Caenorhabditis elegans: one gene and its partner. The protein of the gene in region 2 purifies or fractionates together with the protein of the main gene of each other region. This does not show direct contact. Each region holds a gene or a part of one and is shown on either strand. Other genes may lie near its edges.

The links. The genes of interacting proteins can lie anywhere in the genome.
Region 1: the proteins of bre-1 (region 2) and nex-3 fractionate together in Caenorhabditis elegans (co-fractionation; one large-scale study listed by BioGRID). This does not show direct contact.

What each region holds. Positions count from the first base shown.
Region 1 is NC_003281.10:4,438,918-4,446,175, reverse strand, and holds nex-3 (Annexin), read right to left. Parts: upstream 4,096-7,258; 5' UTR 4,084-4,095; coding exon 4,042-4,083; intron 3,999-4,041; coding exon 3,900-3,998; intron 3,829-3,899; coding exon 3,608-3,828; intron 3,172-3,607; coding exon 2,769-3,171; intron 2,444-2,768; coding exon 2,330-2,443; intron 2,132-2,329; coding exon 2,057-2,131; 3' UTR 1,939-2,056; downstream 1-1,938. Other genes in the region: C28A5.2 (REJ domain-containing protein), read left to right, coding at 6,633-6,686, 6,736-6,873, 6,919-6,984, 7,032-7,258.
Region 2 is NC_003282.8:8,983,475-8,990,732, forward strand, and holds bre-1 (GDP-mannose 4,6 dehydratase 1), read left to right. Parts: upstream 1-4,448; 5' UTR 4,449-4,513; coding exon 4,514-4,585; intron 4,586-5,102; exon of another isoform or gene 5,103-5,202; coding exon of another isoform or gene 5,203-5,223; intron 5,224-5,295; coding exon 5,296-5,406; intron 5,407-5,456; coding exon 5,457-5,669; intron 5,670-5,812; coding exon 5,813-6,143; intron 6,144-6,214; coding exon 6,215-6,624; intron 6,625-6,737; coding exon 6,738-6,800; 3' UTR 6,801-6,970; downstream 6,971-7,258. Other genes in the region: pdzd-8 (PDZ Domain containing), read left to right, coding at 1-173, 220-374, 481-651; nstp-1 (UAA transporter), read left to right, coding at 1,398-1,471, 1,521-1,634, 1,926-2,028, 2,069-2,209, 2,261-2,428, 2,474-2,625, 3,006-3,210.

The sequences.
Region 1 (7,258 bases), on a different chromosome or scaffold from region 2:
GGCAAGTAGGCACACAATAATAAAGTAAAACTTTTCCATAATCTGAAAATTTTGCAGCTCTACCAACCCAACATATAAATCACCGCATCATCTGACCTCATCGGCTACACCATATTAGTGCCCCTGCAAGATTCGGCGATAGTCTGCTCATTTTTACATTTTCAAATGCCTTCCAAAACCCTCATTTTCAGGTGTAGAAGACTTTATTATCATTTTAGACATTTGTTTGAGATTTTCATTCAATTTTTTAAAAATTTAAATTTAATGTAACATTTTAAATTCAATTAAAATGAAATCCCAGCTGAATTGAATGATTCTATCAAATAAATGATGTATTCAGAAGGTCCCGTTTGATCTCTAGAAATCGCGGAAAACTAGATTTTTGGCGCGATTCCTTGAGATCAGAGCCAGTTTACTTTCTGAATACTTACTTCTGAAAAAAAAACTTACTTTAACTGTTCAGATCTCTACCGATCTTCTTTAAAACTCCCTTCAACCTGTGTGCTTTTCCTCATTTCTTTAAAACTTTCTTTCCCTTCCTCATGTCTTCAACTCAATTTCACCGATTCCAGTTTTTTTCGTCTTTTCATTTTAATCCAACGGCCAACCGGGTGCCCGTCTTTTTTATTTATAATTAGATTCCTATCATATTGATATACTATCTTTTTTACTGTAAATTGTACTTTTAGTGAATAAAAAATTAAAATCTTCATACTATTTTGCAAATATAAAGAGTTTTTCTTAAAGTTAGCAGCGGATTTGATATTTTACTGTAGATATGATAGTGGTACGGTAGATGTATTGTAGGGAAAAATATTTAGAAATTGTTTTTTTTGTTCAAATGCTAGCTTTTTTTAAATCATGATTCTTTAAACAATTTTATTATAAATTTTTTATGCCAAATAATTTTCTAAAAATTAACACTTTGAAATTCCCGAACAAAAATGTTTTTTGAAAAGTTAAAAATTTGAATTTTTCGTCTAAAGTTGTTTAAACTAAAGTTATAATTTTAACGCTTAAAAATTTTCAATTTTTGCGATTTTTAAAATTTTAAACTCTAACTTTTATGTTGAAAAAAAACGCCGACAAGACACGACAGGCAGGCAGGTAGGCGCCAGGATCCTGCCTGCCTGTCACAAATTCCAAAATTTCAACACTAAATTTCATTGACATTTTCTCAATAAATCACTCATCAGTCTGTTTTCACATACCGCCCGTTCCTCTCATCAAAAGGGGTTTTTCCATCATTTCAACGTGTGTGTGTCGGCGGTGAAATGGCGGAATCGACGGAACGGCGCCTGAATTACGGTGGGAAAAGGGAGGAAATTCAACCCCACCATGACCTCTTCTTCCCCGACAAGACATAGAGAGATGGTTTGAATTATTGCAAAATAGAGCCTGAATGAATAGGAATCGAATGCCGATGAACGAGGAACACGCCAATTTTCGATCCATGTGAGGGTCACTATGAAGAACAAAAGAAATGGAATCTAAAAGGAAACGGAAAAGGCGTCGGGAGGGGACCTTATGGATAATTATAGTCTGCAGTTTTGCTACATAACAAATTTTTGAATTTGATTCAAGGGGAGAATCTTAAAAAGATCAAGAGTTCGTGATGAAACAGAGAATGGCCAAAATTATGGACTGGCACATTAATTGAAACATTGTTCTACAGTGAAATAAATATTTTTCTGCATTTAGTTTAACAGACTTTTAAATGAGTCTAATCAGAAATTCTATAGAAAAATATTTCGATTAATAATCGGGGTTTTGAGGTACAATTGCTTCAGGTCCTGTTCTGTTCTAACCGACTCGGGAGATGTCAGCTGCTCGAAAATCATAAGAAATTTATAATGGGATGTTGACCAGCATTGAACGTGGGACATGTAATGCTAATTTTCAAGAAAACTTTGTGAGCACTTTTTGGAATTGTCGCTTGTCATTTTTCAAACTTTTATTAAAATAAAAACGTTTAGAAATAGATTTTATAAAGTAGTTTCAATGTAAAGCAATTTCAAACAGAAAGCATTTTAATCGATAGTTTGTATTTCATTTTCTAAGGTCTTGGATTTCCCTTGACAAGCATCGTCAAACCATCACGGTATTCTGCCTTGCACTCCTCCTTGATTAGCTGCAATTTTATGAAATTTATAAAGAGAAACCAATATGGTTTTCTATAGAAAATATTACGAACATCGCTCTGGGGATCTTAAATAGAAATTTGTATTTTGAACTGTATTTGGAAATATCAACATATTTTTTGTTCTATTTTCAGTACACATTTTGGCGTAAACGTTGCAGGTAATATCAGTCTACTTGATAGGCTCACCTGAGTCAATGGTTTTCCAAAAAGAGTTTGAAATTCGTGTTCAATGATCACCAAATCATTTTCCGATCGGGATACCAGAATACGAATAAGATCCTTGTCACGTGTTCCCATTCCCTGAAAACATGAATATTTCCTGAACTTTGAGGGTTTTTATCTAGAATGTTTTTAGCGTTACCAGCTTTAGTTTAACTCTTTTCCTATATCTTCATAGTTGATTAATTTTATCTAAAGCCTTACGCCTACACGCGTGCCTACTACATTGCTTACTTCTGTGCCTACTTCCGTGCCTACGTAGGAAGTTAAGCACGATATGTGTGTAGACTTGTGAAAGTTCCTACATGTAACAAAAAGATAAATGTTTAAATCAAATCAGGAAATTTTTGTCATTTACCTAAAGTCAAATTTCTCTGAACTAAGATTTCAAATATCTTGCACCTACCTTGGTTGCCAAATGAATCGAATTTGCAAAATATCGAGGCTTATTTCTCGAAGTCTCAATAAGAGACAACACCAAATTCTTGAAATCTCCGCTGAGCTCCTTGTCAATAAGTTTCTGGAACTCTTTTCCAGATTGTCTCTCGACTTCTTCAATAACTTTTTGAATATGAGCTCCATTGCATGTTGCAAAGATCTTGAACGCATCGAATTTTTCGACTCCAGACTTTTTGTCAAAACTTTTCAGAATTTGAGCAGCGTGAGGCCCAACTTTGAATGTATCAGCGAATCCACCTTCTTCGCGTTTTGCTTGGAGAATGACAATGAGAAGACGCCGGAAGTCTCCAGAAGTATCAGCAGAAATTGCATCTTCCAATGATTTGGAGTAAGTCATGAAGTAAGTGTTTCTAGAAAAAACATATGTTGATATTAATTTTTTTAAGGACATTTTCTAGAAAACAACTTTAAAATTATCATTGGGTTCGTTTTCGGGAGACCTAACTAGCTTTCAAAAGCCTACGCACAGGAATTACGACTGATTCATACTTTTGAAATCTCCGCCTTTCTGCGTGCCTACGTTATACCTTGCTTCGGGACCTACATCAAGACTGTCTGCCTATGCCTTATTCATAACCATAGTGCTGTCTGGGTTATGTTTGTCTACCCACGGACCTACCTTATGCCTGCCTAAGTGCCTACTCTGCACCAAATCGCTGCCTACCTATGTGTTTTCACGTTCCCGCCTGATGTCTATACCATGCCTACTTCCCAATTGTTTCTGTTGTTGTAAAATTTAGTTTTGACTTCAAGCTTCTAATTTCGAAAAACTTTTTAAAAACTAACTTCGCCGCTTCAATTTCCTCGTTAGTCCTAGTTGTCAGAATTTCGATCAAATTTTTCTCATTTGTTCCAAGACCCTTCACAGATCGATTCAGCTCAGTCACGTCTAGTTTAGTAGGAGTTTGAAGTAGAGCAACGAGAAAATCTTCGAAATCTCCAGAAAATGCTTTTTTGATTTCATCTTCCAAATCCTTTCCGTAACGAGTTTTGTAGGGTGTGCGGATCTGGAAATATGGAGCTTTTAGACATAGGCAGGTGAGTAGGCAGGCATGCCTACCTACCATTAAAATCTTACCATCTGTCTCTGTGTATTATTAACCGAAACCAAGATTTCCAAAATCTTCAGTTTCTCCTTGTTTCTAAGAGCCTTCTCTAGTTGCTCCGAGGCGGCAACCTACAATTTTCGGCTTAACTTTACTAGTTTCCCACAGGCTTACCTCATCAAAATACGGCTTGAAATGGATCTTTGCAGTTGCCATTATGTCGGTTTTCTAGAACTTTGAGGTATATATTTCAGGTAGACTTTTTGAGGTATTTGGATAATGGGAGAATTGAATGTGGTAAAGAATTTTGCACTTTTGGATCAGGGATTACACGACAGTTCAATATAGTACAAAGAAAAAGTGAACCGAATTTGCTTGTAAAATATGATGTATCAAGTATGTGTGAACACGGCCAATGCATCAAATTTTATGAGCAAATCTATAGAATGTGGGAAGTGCAGTACTTTCTGAATGCTTTATTGATAGCGTTTCAGATTTATTTTTTTTAGGATTTTTAAAGTAAATATTTTAATTTTCCTAAAACGCCTAATAGCTCCCTATGAGGCTGGCAGAATTCAAGATTCTCGTAATTTCGCAGTTGGATAATATTTTTTATTTATTTTCTTCGTAGGGAAGTTTCAAGTATTACGTCCACCAATGAGTGTAAATATTTGTGAAACATTGAAAAGAAGTCTGCAAAATAGTGGAAAATTGACGTCAGTTCATCTTTGATTCCTACTTTTTAAACGGAAATAAAATTAAATTGAAAGAGATTCATAACTGGTTATGCTTCGAAAATAAGGCAGAAATATATTGAGAACGAAATAACTGCGATGAGTCATTTGAAACTGTCTGAACACTTTTATTGTCCACAAAAATAGGGAGTGGTTTTTCGAAAAAGAGACCTTCGAAAAGAAAAGAGATGTGATGATGAGTCAGTGGAATTTTAGAAAAGAAATTTTGAAATACTTTTGATTTCGAAATTAAATAGAATTTTTGGGGAAACTTTCCTAACTTTGACAATTAGAAAATTTAACAATTTTGCTACAAAAAAAATTATAGCTTATTATTTGTCATTGGTATTTTTTAAGGTATTCTGGGAAATTCAAACATTTTCGTTATTTTTCTAGAATTTTGCGTGAAAAATGATGAAAAATTAAAATTAAAATTGAATCAAAAACCGTTTTCTTCCCACTATATCATGTCACTATATCATGCACTTCTTAACTTAATTTTAAAATTAAAAAGAAATATTAAAAGCAACAGAAAAGTGGAAAAAACTTGAATTTACGGTTTTACCTAACGAGACCCAATGTTTAGGGGCGGAGCGTTTAAAATTGGCGTTGGGGCGAGATTGATTTTCGATTTCGAAAGGCGTTTTTTGCGTCCCCCTAATATGACTTTTGATTTTTTTTTTTTGCAAAATAGATTCTTGCACGAAAATTTTCGGGAATATTGTTACAGAACACTTGTGAGGAAATTTGAATGTTTCACTATCACATTATTCACGAAAATTGACAGAAATATAAAGGTCTGAGAATATTATGAAAACTTATTATTTAAAATTCTGCTCAAAAATCGCAAAATAAATGCTCTGCGGATATATTGAAATTCCAAGTTCTATAAAATTGCAAAAACTTGTGAAATACCTGCCCAAATGCGAACAGATCATCATTTTCGTGTCTTTTCAAAAAGGTTGGCAGACACTTTGAAAGAGAAAGTGAGGATATTCGGAACGAATTCAATTGAAATGGTCACGGTTGAAAAGGAATTATACATTATTGATGCTAGTTAGGATATGTATAGGCTTCTATTGTGAATTACAATTGAGATCAATTTAGAGAAAATATTCTTCAAAAATATCGTATATAAATGTTGAAAAATAGAAGAACAAACTGTCTCAATATCTCAAATGTTAACTAAACAAGCAAAAGTTCTCGTTTTTTTTTTCTGCAAAGAGTCATCGAAAACTATAATAAAAAATGGGAAGAAAGAATGAGGAAATGTGTTTGTAAATAAAAAAAGAATTGGGAGAAAGTTCAAACAAATAGACATTCGAATCGTTTGTTTAAACTTCTTGAGTTTGTCCTTGTTTGATGGTGGAGTACTGTCAATGGGAGATTTTAGCAAGAGTGGAAAAATCACCAAAATCTGGGATTTTTTAAACTTAATGTCATTATTACATTTTTCTTTAAAGCAGGAGTATCGCCTGTGGGGAAATAGTCAAAAACTACATATATAGTGGCAAAAGGACCAAATATCATGGAAAAACTTTGGAAGCAGCTGGAAAGTGAGAACTGAGAAGTTTCAGACCAACTCCGCCCTTTTTTCTTTGAATTTGCTTAGGTTCGCAAAAACTTGAAATTAGCATCAAAATGTTTTATGGCTTATTTCTGTACAGTTCAAAATTCGACATATCATCGTCTACACCAAACGAACAAGTCTTCACAACAATTTTAATTCCACCGTTGTAGGCCTGAAAATTTCAATCCGGTTACAGTCACACTTAAAGGTGCATGCATGTCGGTTCACAGGTCTCACCACGCCACCAGTGCATGCCTGCTCGGTCCAAACGGAGATTTTCCCATTTTTCGCTTTCATTTAGCTAATTTTTTTGTTAAAAAGTGATTTCTAAATTTGAAAATAGTGAAATTCGGTTAAATCTTCAGCGTAAAGTGTTCAGATTTGCTTTGGACTTCTTTAAAACATTTTTAATTCAGATTTACGAGTTTCTGTGACTTGCCGATGATTATCACCGCAAAACAATGCATTTTTATAAATACGGCGTTTTGATTGATCAGCTCAGAGATTCGTTTGAGGTATTTTCTTTAATTATTTTTAATTAGTTCGTAAAATCATTATTTTCAGTGGAGAGTCGCATTCTTGGATGGATCTGTCAGTGATCATTGTTGCATCACCGTTCCTTCGGAAAAGTTTAACTTTCCGCCGACTCCAGGAGCAACTGTTAAAGCCAAATTTGAACACGCGAACAGCTTTTTGCCATCGGTATCATATTAATTATGAGTAACTTTCTCAATTTAAAATGTTCAGCTTGTCGCACAATGTGGCAGTTTTGAATGGTTTCGTGATGTAACGGTGGTGAATTCCAAAGTTGTGGTATGAAAATCGAATTATTTTACCATTTTACAATCAACTTGTTTCAGATCTTCGCTATTGTGCACTTCTCAAATGAATGTCTAGAAAGAGATCCATTTAAAATAAATGGAATGGATTACAGCATTATCGAGAACGAGAATACGGACTTTCAAAAGATTGTACTTCCAACTCGTGTGCTTCAAACCTCAATCACAAGTAGATCAAATTTGCAAAACACCGACACTCCTTTTATTTATCGAATCGGCGTATGCTGGGAGCCAATAAGTTTTGAAAA
Region 2 (7,258 bases):
AAATGCATATAATGAGCAGACGATTCGAAATGCAAAAATGCTTGGACGTGAGATCTTCTGTGATCTTCCATCTGAGCAACGAGTCGAGAGAATCAACTCACAAATCGATAGAATTCAGACAGCGATAAGAGAAACGAAAGATAATCGATTGAGTGTGATGCAAAATGGCGGAGGTATTCAATTCTGCCCGAACTTCATGTAATCTACAATAATTTTGAGACATTTCAGAATCGTCAGCCAAGTTTCAAGGTCTGGACGAACGTCTTCAAGCTCTCGCTGTTGTCATGCTTCACTATTGTTCTGCTCTTCAAGATTGCCAATCAGGAAGATCCACACCAGCTCCACCACCAGATGATGATAATCAGAAGAGAGAGGTAATGGTTTCAAACGTAAAATAAAATTTGAAATGACATGATTAAATCCAACTATGACTATTGGATAAATGAATACCCATTCCTAATCTCTTCTAAAAGTCTCCAGATTACCGAAGAAATATCATCCGTCAACGTCGACTCAAACAATGAAGAAGACTCCGAAAGTGTTCTAGATGAGGATACAGTAACCGGTGACGTTCCGGTGCAACACGATCATCCACTTGAGCGACCAACAAAGCTGGATCCGAGTTCGGATGCAGTTGAAGCCCATTCCTAAATGTTTTCTTATTGTTTTCTCCTGATTTTTGTAATTTTTGTGCCAACTCAAACTTTGCACCATATCACATTCTCTTCTATTCTTTATCACTTTTCATCATCATTTTCTATCACTTTCTTTTCTCCAAATCTGTGATATATAAAATCTCGAACCAGTCCCTCCATCCCGAGCCAGTGCACCAAAATTTGTCGAAAGTATTTTGTCTTGCAACTGTGATTTTTACTATTCCTAATCTTATTCGTGTATTCATCAAATTTAAAATTCCATACGCACCAAATCAAGTTTTGATGACTATACATACTTCATCATTCTCTGAATCCCCATCGAAAAACTGCATAATTTTTATTTATTGACTCGCGAAAAATTGAAAATGTCATTCCCTATTGCTTCCCACGAATTGTCCCTAAAACACTGTACGTTTCACATAAATCTAATTTATCTTTTAAGTCCTTCTTTTTCAAAGTTCTTGGTTCAAAAAATATCTCGTCATTTCGGCTAGACAAGGTACTTATTAGGAAGATATAGCATGTGATTGGTAGCTGAAACAGCTGCTCATTGTTCACTTTTTCTATTTCTCGACTTTTCTATGTCTCTTAAGCTTCTTTTATTGAATTTCAGAGAGAAAAGAACATATTTTTATTGATTAGAAATAATGAGCAAATACCAAAAGTGGAAATTATTCAGATTAGCTTTTAACATTTATGAAATACTTTTTTTCAAAATAAACGAATAACTTTCAGTGCCAAATGGCTGCTGCAGTGATCTCTACTACATTATTTGGTTGTGTTGGATGTCAAGCGGGAATCGAATATTTACAAACGTAGATTCAACGTTCTCTACAACTTTATTTCATAAAAGATTTTTTTCAGATATGTGAAAAATAGTCTAAACCTTATCACATTCGCATCATTCATTTTCACAGCGACATATGGTCTTATATTTCACTCTAAATTTTTTACGGTTCCCAATAGGATACCGATTAAGTTGGTTTTTAATAATTTATTACCAAGACGCAAATTTTTGCGATTTTTATACGGTACCTGGTCTCGACACGGCAAAATTGTGCTGAATAGAAGAAGACGCGCCCCTTTAAAGAGTACTGTAATTTTAAAATTTCGTTTCTGCAAAACCATTGAAAATCGATACAAATTTGAAATTACAGTGGTCTTTCAAGGTTCACACCTTTTTTAGTCAACAAAAATTTGTCGTGTCGAGACCGGGTACCGTATTCTGGAGCAAAACCTGGGTGTTATTTTACTGATTTTCTCATTCAGGTCATATGCGAAAATTGTGGCGATTTTCTTTACAGTCAACATGACAAACAATTTAGCTTTGAAATTTGCAATTTATTTTCCACTTTTCATAATTTTCAAATCGGTTCGTTTTTGAATATTGCAATTTTGAATCAAACATTCAGGGCACACTACTTACGAACATGACAATGGGATGGATTATACGAAATTATCAGTACAGTTTAAAACAAATCAGTGCAGTTGTGGTAGTTACAGCTGGAATTGTAATATTCACGTTGGCCAGTTATGAGCCTGGTGCACAAAATGTTAGTTATTCCAAATTTTTTAATTTGGAAATGCAAATTTAATTGTTACAGATTCGATCAGGAATTGACTCAAACTCATGGTTAATACCAATTCCTCCATTTGTCGTTGGGTTGGCTCTTCTTTCTTTTGCACTGATTCTCAGTGCATATTTGGGATTATATCAAGAAACATTCTATCAAAAACATGGAAAACACAATGAGGAGATGATGTTTTATGTGGTAAGATATCCCTGTCTGAAATAATTTCAATTTCTAAAATTTCAGCATTTCCTCTCAATTCCTTTGTTTGCTTTCGTTGGTGACGATATGGTTCCAGCATTCCATGCCGCTTACTCAACACCTTCATTTGTTATTGCTGGATTGGATACTGTAGTCCCATCGGCATGGGTGTATATTTTTGCAATTTGCCTATTCCAGTAAGTTCTAGTGATTATTTAATTTGACGTTAAACTTTGAAAGTGAAGTATAGTCAGTGGGCATTTTTCTGAAATGGCTTAATATCAAAATTAAACTGTTCAATAACGTTTTAATTGTTTCATTCACAATCAAAAATTGAAATTATTTAGTTTTTGTCACTCAAACTTTTAAAATTGAACCAAAAAATATTTTAATAATATGCACCTGATGTACCTAAATGTGTATTTCTCTATAGGTTCTCGAAAAACTAAAAATTTTCGAAATAATTTTCGAAGAGTTTGGCAATTTGCCAAAACGTCGGGTCTCCGCGGAAGAAATTAAAAAAAACAAAAACATTTTTGTTTCAATGGTCAATTTTTCTTATTCTTATATATTATAGATTCGCTTGCACAAAAGGTGTCTACATGCTCTCCGCCGTGACAACATCTCTAAACGTGACAATGGTCCTAACTCTCCGAAAATTCTTTTCGCTTTTGATCTCATTTATAGTTTTTGAAAACGTTTTCAACATGTTTCACATCATCGGTGCCGCATTTGTTTTCATTGGAACAATCCTTTTTTCAGTGTCATTTGCCCGCTTTTAAGATATCAATCTCTCTTCATCATCTCGAATTTGTATCATTTTTTGCATGGAACATTTCAGAACAATGTGATAATAAACTATTTGCACTATGAATTGATAATCGAATACACAAGTAGACTATATTTCCACTGTTGATGTGGATATTTTACATTTCAAAAATACACGCGAGAGAGTGGAGTAAACCTAGAGACGGAGACAGTGAGAAACGCCAACTGGCAAAGCGTCCCCACGTTGAGAGTAGGCATAGGGCTTCAGGATGCAAATTTATTGATTTTTGTGGCCCGGCTCCATGAGCAAAATGAGCCTTGAGTACAAAAGAACGGGTCTTCTTATCATTATTAATATTATCAGTTATCACCATAGCCGCACCTTCACCACGTAACACACTTTCTCTGTTTCTCTAATTATCTTCTTCTTACTGTTGTTAGGCAATTGAAACGTTTTCTGAACGTGGAATTGAAATTTTTGAAATGAAATGAAACGTTTCTTTAACGTGGAATAAATTAATATATTTAAATATTTTTTTATATTTAATTAAAATTATTATTTTGAAATTCATACCATCATTAATTCTCGTTTTTAAGAGTAAAAATGGCTGATCAAAATGCGAAAATTGAGGTTTGATATTTTTATTAAAAAATCTATTGATGAATATTGGGAATTTGGTTGCATAATAAAGTGCGCTCCATTGAGACATCATTGGTCTTGCCACGATACATATTTTTAGAAAATGAGAAAGCTCATCTTTAAAATTTTTGAAAATTTTAAAGCTGAATAATAAATTGCTCAATTTCAAATAATTCATCAATAGAGTCCTAATTTGTCGTCGTTTTGTCTCTGGTTTCTATGGGAAATATTCCAATTCTTTGGTTGCTATGTACGTTTCCTTGGCAAATTCCTTCGTCTTTATACTTAAAATGCACTTCTAGACGAAACAAATATTTGAAACAATGAACTCACATGATTCAAAAATATTCTGTCAGACTTGTTCCAATGGAAATAATCAGGTATTTGTTGAAAATAATCTAGAAATTTTTAATGCATCAGACGGCACTTCTTTTTTTTTCATTTTCGTGTTCCAGTTTGTTAATGAATAAGAATCTCTCCGGCTTTTCCGTCTTCTATTCTTCCAATCTATACACTCATTGTCTCAAATAAATTCGGGATTCTCTATCTTTCTTCCATCGAACACGGTTAGATTTTTATCCTCCACTATTTGAGAAAAATCCTGATTCTGGGGGCGTGTTCCTCAGCTTTTCCTCATTATTTTCATTCTTATTCGAAATCTAAATTGAACCGTTGCAATGCCAACCGGCAAGTCTGAATCTTCTGATATTTCTGAAGTTGTTGGTAACATGGAAATATCTAAAGTTGAGGTATGTGACTGATTTGTTAAGGTTATCAAATTCTATATATTTAATCCTAGTCTTATAAATACTGATTTCCTTGAATTAGATCAGCTCTAGTGGAATTTCATATTTTAATTATTTGTATTAATTTAGTACACCGTCGAATAATGCATGAATGTTTTAAACTGATCAAAAATTATGTGTTTCCAAAGTTTGGCAGATTGTCAAAATCTTAACTGAAAAGTTCAAAATCTAAAACATTCTAGGTATTTTTGACCGATTTAAAAGATATGTTGGTCTTCTGGAAAATATAGAGAAATTATAATTTCCTAACCATACCGCTTTACATTTAAAAAGTATCCTAATTACTTTGCATTAGTACAATTCTAAATGCTCCCCTATTATATTGACACAGCCTAGGATTGGTACATTTATACATTTTCCGTAAAATGAAGTGCCACGTCCCTTTTTCCATGTTTCGCCTCTTTTCCCTCTCTCTCCCTCTCTCTTTCGATTGCCTCTCCTACGTGTCGCTTTTGGGTGTCCCGAATTGCATTAACTGTTGGCTTTTTGTACATTCTCAATCATTCTGATAGTTTTATCAGTTAGCCTAATTTATCCCCCTTTTTGTGAATAGAATTGAAATGGATTCTAGTGCTGAACAGGTAAATAGGATGTTCCTTTGTCTTTGGGAGATTGGTAATTTTAAATAGGATATCAAAAATTCTAAATTTCAGGGTCTTGAAGCGTGTATCGGAATGAGCCACGAAGTGTCCACTACTCCAGCTGCTGAGTTGGCTGCTTTCAGAGCACGCAAGGTTGCTCTGATTACTGGAATTTCTGGACAAGTATGTTAATCATTTTTCTTGCTTCGTATTTACGCCAGCACTTTTTTCAGGACGGTTCATATCTTGCTGAGCTTCTTCTTTCAAAAGGATACAAAGTTCACGGAATCATCCGTCGTTCATCTTCATTCAATACCGCAAGAATCGAACATCTGTACAGTAATCCAATTACTCATCACGGTGATTCTTCATTCTCTCTTCACTATGGAGATATGACTGATTCATCTTGTCTCATCAAGCTCATTTCAACTATCGAGCCAACCGAAGTGAGTATTGTTATTCATACAGAATTACAAATATTCCAAGCTTCACGCAGACAGACAAAAATGTCTGTCTGCGTGTTAAGATTTTTCTGTACCTCCGTTTTATATGTTCTCAAAATATAACCAGTTAATTATGTTCTTTCTAGGTGTATCATTTGGCTGCTCAATCTCACGTCAAAGTGTCTTTTGATTTGCCAGAATACACTGCTGAAGTAGACGCTGTTGGAACTCTTCGCCTTCTCGATGCAATCCATGCTTGTCGTTTGACTGAAAAAGTTCGATTCTATCAAGCATCCACATCCGAATTGTATGGAAAAGTTCAAGAGATTCCACAAAGTGAGAAGACTCCATTCTATCCAAGATCTCCATATGCTGTTGCCAAGATGTACGGGTACTGGATTGTTGTTAACTATCGTGAAGCCTACAATATGTTTGCTTGCAATGGAATTTTGTTCAACCATGAGAGTCCAAGAAGAGGTACGTCAAATTTTTCAAACTGCAAAAAAAAGCCTGCAAAATTGAAAGCAACTCTCATGTTGGTATTTCAGGAGAGACATTCGTGACTCGTAAGATCACTCGTTCAGTCGCTAAAATCAGTTTGGGGCAACAGGAAAGCATTGAGCTCGGAAATCTGAGTGCTCTTCGTGATTGGGGACACGCCAGAGAGTATGTTGAAGCAATGTGGAGAATTCTTCAACACGACTCACCAGATGATTTTGTGATTGCAACTGGAAAACAATTCAGTGTCAGAGAGTTTTGTAATCTTGCATTTGCTGAAATTGGAGAAGTATTGCAATGGGAAGGAGAAGGTGTTGAGGAAGTTGGAAAGAATAAAGATGGAGTTATTCGAGTTAAAGTTAGTCCAAAGTACTACAGACCAACTGAAGTGGAGACTTTATTGGGAAATGCTGAAAAAGCAAAGAAGACTCTTGGATGGGAAGCAAAGGTTACGGTTCCGGTGAGTTTCAAAAAGTATTCAAGGTTTTTATAATTAAATTTTGAACTTATAAAAACCATTGTAATTGAAGAATGGTTTTACTTATCGAAATCCATGAAAATTATATATTTCAGGAACTCGTCAAAGAGATGGTTGCAAGCGACATTATCCTTATGAAGTCCAATCCAATGGCTTAATCATTTAATCAACTCGATCACAATTTCCAAATTGCTTTATTATTTTTTAATAGTTCCCGTTTTCTCTGTTATTCTACCTAACTTATTGATGATTGCTGTGATGCTTTTGGGACCTCTGGGATTATTATTTGACCTTCCTTTTTTTGAACAATGAAGCATTCTGTTTCGGGATGTAGATTTTTTGGTAAAAAACAAATATTTACTATTGGAAACTAACTAGACATTCAGCAAGGACGCAACGCACGGATGCAGCCACTAGGGTCCAAAGAGGGCGAGTTGAAGGAGAGAAGCGCCACGCAACGCCTCACTCTACCTGAATGTCTCGAGAAATACTTTCAATGTCCATGTAGTTTTTTGTTTTTCTCTAATGTTTCTCTGGCACCACCTACAACTTAAGTTTCGACAAATTTAAAAAAGATTTCGAGAAAGAAAAATAATGAATCTTCATCTTTCGGTCA